2 linked regions of the Ovis aries genome follow. The protein of the gene in region 1 interacts with the protein of each later gene in a pairwise test. Links are inferred from orthologs where the notes say so. Each region holds a gene or a part of one and is shown in the gene's direction. Other genes may lie near its edges.

Region 1 (3,747 bases):
TAGGATTCTTGCCAAAATCATTAAGAAGAATGAATCTGAGCATGCCTTAGAGTAGAACTTTCAGTAAACAGGAATTACCTATAAAGAAAATCAGGAAGCTGAAGTGTTTGCTTTTTTTTTAATGAAGTTACATCCTGCCATAGAAATGCTGGATAGGAAATAAAGACTGATGCACTCCCAGTTGTATATTAAACCAGCTATTATTTCATCAAGGAAAATCTGAGCAAAAGCTCAGATTTAGAGAAGGAAAAAAACCACGGGAAGGCTGAATTCATGAGAAAACAAAGACAACCAATGGCTACAATTGAACATGCTTTTGGAAAAAGCTATACAAACAAACACCCACTCTGTGATTGCAGATTCCATAGTAGTCGCTTGCCCTCTCCACCCCTTACTCGTATTTCCCTAATACTTCCTGCAGACTTTGCTTATATATATATACATATATCAGAAGACTATCAGTTCATTCTAATTTATTCCGTTTTATCCCCTTCCTTTTCTTCCTCCCCCTCCTTATAATTACTGATAATATTAACCGCGCGTTTCCAGGTTTCTCTTTTTTCCAGGTTTCTGTGATGGGATTCTCCCTTGCTCCGCACTCTTCGGTTTGATCAGAGAAAACAATTTAATCATCCTAACAGTTTCCCAATTTATCCTCCCACCTTCAAATTAAAAGACAACAGAAAGGAAAGATAGCCCTTTCTCAAGGCAGGTTCCCATGGTTTTGAGGGAATGGCAGATGCCTTTCTGCAGTAGCGGCTGCAACCTTCTCCAAAGCAGAAACTGAAGCTCACACTCTCCTCTTCTTTCCTTACCCTAACCCACTACCTCAAGTCCACGTAAACCTTAAAAAACACACACGCACAACTCCTCCAATCTAGTATCCCCTCTCACACCCTTACACCACAAGCACGCCAGGATGCCCAATGCCACCGGAACGCTCTGCCCACTCGGTGGCCCCACCCATCGCCGCCCCGCCCCCGCTTCAACCACCAATGGTCGCCGCCCGCTGCTCCCGAGGGGCTCGTTGATTGGACAGTGGAGCCTGCCACTCTCGCGGGGCCTCCCGCCCTCCCTCACTCCCCGCTGGGGCTGGAGGGGCTGGAGCATCAGCGCGAGTAGCTCGGAGCAGCCGCGGCAGCGGCGGCGCGTCGTTGCAGTTGCGCCATCTGTCAGGAGCGGAGCCGGCGGGGAGGGGGCTGCCGCGGGAGAGGAGGAGGGGTCGCCGCGAGCCGAAGGCCGCCGAGACCCGCCCGCCAACCGGCCGAGGGAGCAGAAGAGAGGCTGCCCTCGGAGCCGCGCGTCCATCACCGCCCGGGCGCGCGGCGCTTCACCCCGCGCACCGAGGGCTCCCCAGGCGCACACAAAGCCGCCGCCCGCGCCTGGGAGGGATCCAGTCGCCGGGCCGGGGACACCCGGCGCCGCCCCCTGGGCACTCTCAGAAGGCCCACCGGCTCCCGGGCCCGCCGAGCAACCACCGGAGCCGCTTCGGCCGCGCCGGAGGAGGCGGGGAGTGGACCATGTGAATGGGCTCCGGAGCCTGAGCGCAGCGCAGGTAAGCGGCCGGGGATGCGCCGCGGGGCCGCGGGGATGCTGCGGAGATGCGGGCCGCGGGCGCCGAGCGCAGCGCCGCCCCCGCCGCGGGGCCCGGCGCTGCAGTCTCTTGGCCATCGTTGCCTCTGGGGCTCCCCGCGGGGCTGCCAGGGAGTTGGCCTTGCTTGGAGTCTTGCTGTGGTCGCTCCGGAGGACACCTCTGCGGGCTGCAGCCCCGAGGTAGCGCAGGGCTGGGGGGTCCATTTCCTCAGGGTGTGAATAGGGATTGGCTTGGGGGGTGGCTAGGCCGGCCCAGACTCCGCCTCCGCCCTCTTTTCGGGGCCCCCCGCGGGGACCCGGGCTGTGTGTGTTGTTTTAATGTCAGGGATGATGTAATCACTTAATAATTGATGCCCCGTGCTGCTTCCCTCCCCACCCCACTCCACCCCTGCCCCACTCCTCCACCTCTCGGCCTCCTCCTCCTGTGGCCGTCGCCTTTCCCATCGCATCCTCCAGCTTATTTCTGGCACCTCCCTTGCACTTCCCCCATCCTCCCCTCGACTCTTCCTGTGCCACCACCCACCCTTCCCCAGTCCCCCGTGCTGGAGCCTTAGCTCCTCTTCCTCTGACCCCTCCAACCCTCCTGCTCCCTCAGGCTCCTTTCTCCTTCCTTCTCAGCTCTCTGGATTTCCTCTCTACTTCCCTAGATCGATGACTGTTTTTGTTTGGTCGCCTCCCCTCTCTTATCTCTGCGGCCACAGGCGGAGGGGACTGAGCCAGAAAGAGGCCACCAGGCTTGGGCCTCGGCGGAGATTTGCTGGGACTGAGTGAGAAGAGGGATAATAAAATCACCCTTCTCGCCCCTCCTCCCACCAATAAATCACACAGACTCGCGGGGTGTGTGTGTGTATGTGTGTGTGTGACACAAAGAGCCCTTTCAGTGCACAGAGAGGAGACGCATAAAGTGCCCAAGGGTGGGCGCGATGCTTCTTGTTTCTCTTCCCTGGGGCTTCCCTTTTGCTCAGATAAAGCAGTTGATCTTCTCTCTGAGAGTCTTTCCTGCCACATTTACCAAAAAATAAAAGGCCCCAGATGCAGGGTGGCAGGTGCTGCCGTTTTGCTGTATTCATGGACCGGTAGTGTTGACTGGCGGCTGCAGTACTTCTTAGATTGAAGGGGGAATTGATTTCAGCTGTCTGAAGAGTTGCTTTACTCTCAGGGTAGCACCCTCCCTTGCCCAGTTTTAACTCCCTTTCATGGTAGGGGGTAGGATACATGGGTGTGGGAGAGGGAGAATTTTGTTTCCAAAAGAGAGTTATATTGATGTTTGCTAGGAGTGAGGCAGCCTAACTTGCTTCTCTCAAGTCTAAGGAGGACTGAAGTCATTTGAAATGAAGTCTTGTCCACCCAGTGATGGTTGTTTCACCCTTGTATTTAAAGAAGCTCCTGGGGACATTGCTAACACAGCAGTAAGTCGGTATTTGGAAGACTACTGGGGACTGTGTCTCTCTTGCCTGCTTCAGGGTACCCTTCAGACAGCCACTTCCTTCCTCTCACCGCCAAGCCACTGCCGTACTTTCCACCCTTTGTGCTCTTTCTCCCAAGTCCCTGCCCCTCTGCCCCTCGGGTCCTGTGCTTTCAGACAAGGGACTGATTTTTGGAGGAAGTGGTTTTGTTAATTGTCTCAGGTGTTGGAGGCACTTAGCTATGAGCGAAGAAGGTAGAGAATCTTTTGCCTGATCTCTTAAACCATCTGCTTGATGTTCCTCTTAAAAAGGAAATGTAAATGTAAATCTGGGGGCTTAATGTTCCATTCTGTAAGCCAGTGACTGTTACATGCTTAATCAATAATGTCAAAACTTAGGTCGAACCCATTGATTCCTAAGAGCATGGCTCTTTGACTGTTATAAGTAATAGAACTGTCTCAAGTTCTTCAAGAATTTTATTAGAGAAGAATTGTTATGGTTCATTAAACATTTACTCCTGCACTTTCTAAGGACATTCATCTTGGAACATTTTATATTTTAAAAAAAGCAAAAGGGTTAATGAGGGTAGTGTTCAAAACAAAAAAACAAAGCCTTGTTTGTTTGGCCAAACCCAGGAAAGAAAGTGCACAATAAGCTCACCCTCTGTTGACCGAGTTCAAGAGAGTGGTGAGGTTGAATGTGAACAAATGCATATTCTGCTTTCTGTACTTTTATTCTCTGCTTTCTC
Region 2 (3,747 bases), on another chromosome or scaffold:
ATAAACAATTTATATTGCGATTGGAGCCACAATAAAATCTTCCGTTTCCTATCTGAAGAAAAAAAATATTTTTCTTCTACACACACAGACACACACACACAGACACACACACACACACTGTTTTAGAGAAAATCTGTAAGAAGATTTAGAGCTAGAAGACAGTAAGTAGCTGATGATTAAACTCAGTAAGTTTGCTGAGATTATACTCAGTACATATCTGATGATTAAACGATCAGGTTGCAATGAAAACATTTTATAATTCCGTTTTAATGGAATTATAGCAATTTTCTCTTTGATGCTTATAGGTGGACAGTGCTATCTATTTCTGTTTGTAACTAGAACTCTCTGCGCTTCCTAGTACGGGAGATCGGTCACCCTCCAAATCTGAATTACGTAGTGTAAGAGCCAATCGGAGCGCTCTCTGGAGCAGCTCCGGACAGGCCTCTCAGGGAAGACTGGCGGAAGATGGGACTTTGATGCCATCATGCAATCGGACAAAGAAGGCCTCAATAGTTTAGGGCGGTCGAAAATTTCATCTGGGGTGCTGCGCAAAGTGTTAAACCTTGGCGGGACTGATTAAAACCAGAAAGTCTCTCAATCGGAAAACCTGGACGCACCGCAGAGTCCTTATTTTCTGGGACCGTGCAGAAATGGTCAGCACTTGCGCCGCTACCAGTGACCAAAATGGCCGCAAAGCGCTTCGGGCGCGGAATCAGGTGATGCAGCCCCAGTCCGCTCTTTCCCACCAGCCGCTCCTCCCGCTCCACGTAGCGGTGGGTGTGGCCTGCCCTGAGGCTCTTCTCGGAGGCAGGGAAAACCTAGGGATTACACATGCGCAGTTAAGGCCCCTCAGGCCCTTCGGACCCCTTCCCCGCCCCCCGCCCCTCCCACCTCCCCGCCCCGAATTGCCGGGCGGGGCTGGGCCGAGAGTCCAGCAGCTGTGGCTGGGGCTTCAGTGACTTCCTTGTTATGAGCCTCGCCTTGGCAGTGTCCGGACTCTTAGCCCCGCTGTCCTTACCGGGATAGTCCGAGTCTAGATCGCAGCCGCAACCCTAGCGGGTCGGTTCCCCTTTCAGCACAGGTCCTTTCCCCTCACGCCCCGAGCTCCCTAACATGCCCAACCCCAGCAGCACCTCCTCTCCCTACCCCCTCCCCGAGGAAATTAAGAACCTGTTGGCAGGTAAAAAGCGGGAAGGGGGCGGGTAATGTGGCGGGGGCGGGGGCGCGGGGACGGCGAGCCGGCGGGGACAGAAGCATTCGGAGTCTCTACCCTCCCTCCTGGCTCTCTGCACGCCTCCTGCCCAGTGGGAACGGGACTGGGAGTGGGGAAGTGGGATGTGAGAATGGGAGTGGGCGTGTGTGTGGAAATTTGGTGCGAGGATGGTAGGGAAGCCCTTCTTGGTGGGCTTTACTAATGCGATCAGGGTATCGTGAAGATTGTGTGTGTGTGTGCGCGCGCGCGATCAGGGTACCTTGAAGACTGTGTGTGTGTGTCACAGAGAGATGAGGAAGGAGAGAGGTCAAAGAACTAGTTCTTTGGTCCCTTGGCCGATGGAAGAGAAAGAGATTTCTGAGCTACAGAGGTTAGGAGTTAGGGGTTATGGGACCACAGGGTTTGTCATTTCTAAAACTCCCATTTTCTTGAACATTCAGCCCACCCATATTTGAGACTTTAAAAGGGGGCCTGACTCTCAAATGACCACTTGTCTTCAGCCTGAGTAACGTGTTACAACACAAAAGGAAGGATGTGTTAAAGTCCAGCTTCCTGTGACGATGAATGTACAGTATTTCGTATTTGCACCCCCATCTTCCCCTTTTCAGTCTTGAGTGACCGTTTGTAGGAACTTAGGAATTAAAGATGCATTCTTCAAGGCTGTTACAAATCCACTGCTACTTCGTTATCTAATATGGGAGATGTATATTTTCGCTAGGGGCCAATAAAAACATATATTTCTGCACAACGTAGAAAATAAATCCTTTTCTGGGGTAGCAAAAATTTTACCTATCCTGATGCTCTGAAATTCTTCCCGTTATTCACTTTGTCATGTGTACATCAGAATTCTGAATATTGAATTTTGATCTAAAATTTTTAGTTTAAGTATCTTTCAATATTGGTCATGAAAAAGTGGGTTAAAAGTTTCTCTTAGATGCCTATGATACAATTTGCTTATTTTAACTCTTAAAGCAATATTTAAAATGTGGCATTATATGTAGTTACTGTTAGAGCACTGTGAGACTAAATCTCTTAATATGCTGTTAGAGAAAATAAAATTAACAGTGTATGAATGCAGACATGTTTTGTGAACATGATTTCAGTGTTACGATGACTGCATTTGTTGTGGGGTAGTGATTTACTCTAAGAAATGCTTGTTAATGGGTACCATTGTGGGATATACTGAAAGAACCTTAGGGACTGAGTCAAGGCAGCTTTTATTCCATTCTATGAGAGTTTCAAGTGAGTGCTGATTTTATTTTAAGACAGTTAACATGTTTGTTGTTACCATGCTGGGATTCCTTGCTTAGAATATTATTTTACCAGGTTAGAGAACTGTTTATCATAACTCTAAAGAGAGAAGTCACCATTTTCAGGATATTTTAGGTCTGAATTTTTGAGTTTAAGAAGTAAAGCATAGACCCCCTGGATACATGCTTTTAAAGCTTGACAGCTCCACAGTAGACAGTTTGTAATCTGGATCCACAGGCGTAATTTGCAGATAGTATGATATATAGGTTATGAGACTCTATTTTCTGATCCCCATGGATTACAAGTATTTCATGTAGCCCTTACTTGTGTAATTTAATTGAAAGCTCAGGATTAAATAATACTTAAGTTATCTGCCATTGCTAACTTCATATATACTTTAGCCATTTCTCTGCTCTGTAGTCAGATAATACATAATATCTGAAATTAGCATTTCAAAAATAATCTTGACATTTTCAGTATCTCACATTATTGAAGTAAATCACATATTAAAACATGAAATATTAAGAACAACTATTAAAACATTAAACTTCTAGTAGTGACAAACTTGGCTTATACTGTATTTTCAAGAGGTATGGCTATGAGGAAATATAAGTATCTATAATGAGATATACTTTAAAGAAATGAAACAAGTGAACCAATGTTTTCCAGTTTTCTTTTTAAACTAGCCATTTGAAGAAAAGTAGTTAATGTTTTATGGCTGACTAATTAAAATATTTTTTTTTGTAGAGAAGTTTTAAAGAATAAGTGAGATCAGCAGTTTTATTCACATTTCGTTTTACTCAAGTGTTTGACTAATGGGGTATGGTTAGATTTAAAACTATTAAAACTATAGGAGAAGAGTTGGCATTGGTTTGAATTTTAAAGATATTGCTGGCTCTCCTGGTTCGTTCTTTGAAACTAAGGACATGTTGGCAGTGGTGGTTGTAGTTAACAGTCGAGTGCTCTTAGAATGAATGGCACTATGTTAGAATTCCAAGGCAGGAAAGATAAAGAACTAACTTTTCAAGCATTTAAAATCCCTTCAGAAAGAAAGAATCAAAGCAAAAGATATGCCTATCAAAAAAAGTGTTTGGATAGCTCCCATTATGTTCTATGTTCCCTTTATCCAAATTGTTATGTCACTCAGATGTATTGAATGTTTGACATTTCAACTGCTTGATGGAGGTAGGTATCAAATGTATTCTTATCAATTTATTATTTTCTCTCTTTTATTTTTCCTTCTGATTATAGGAGTTTTAGTCTTTCTTTTCAATGTTTGTTCC

What was found.
Region 2: the proteins of FYN (region 1) and SKAP2 interact in a two-hybrid assay, tested with the Homo sapiens proteins (2 studies listed by BioGRID and IntAct, with this or other methods). The link is inferred for Ovis aries from reciprocal best matches to the Homo sapiens genes FYN and SKAP2.

What each region holds. Positions count from the first base shown.
Region 1 is NC_056061.1:25,879,645-25,883,391, forward strand, and holds the start of FYN (tyrosine-protein kinase Fyn), read left to right. Parts: upstream 1-1,103; 5' UTR 1,104-1,555; intron 1,556-3,747. UniProt on the Homo sapiens protein: Non-receptor tyrosine-protein kinase that plays a role in many biological processes including regulation of cell growth and survival, cell adhesion, integrin-mediated signaling, cytoskeletal remodeling, cell motility, immune response and axon guidance.
Region 2 is NC_056057.1:70,716,354-70,720,100, forward strand, and holds the start of SKAP2 (src kinase-associated phosphoprotein 2), read left to right. Parts: upstream 1-954; 5' UTR 955-1,113; coding exon 1,114-1,180; intron 1,181-3,747. UniProt on the Homo sapiens protein: May be involved in B-cell and macrophage adhesion processes. In B-cells, may act by coupling the B-cell receptor (BCR) to integrin activation. May play a role in src signaling pathway.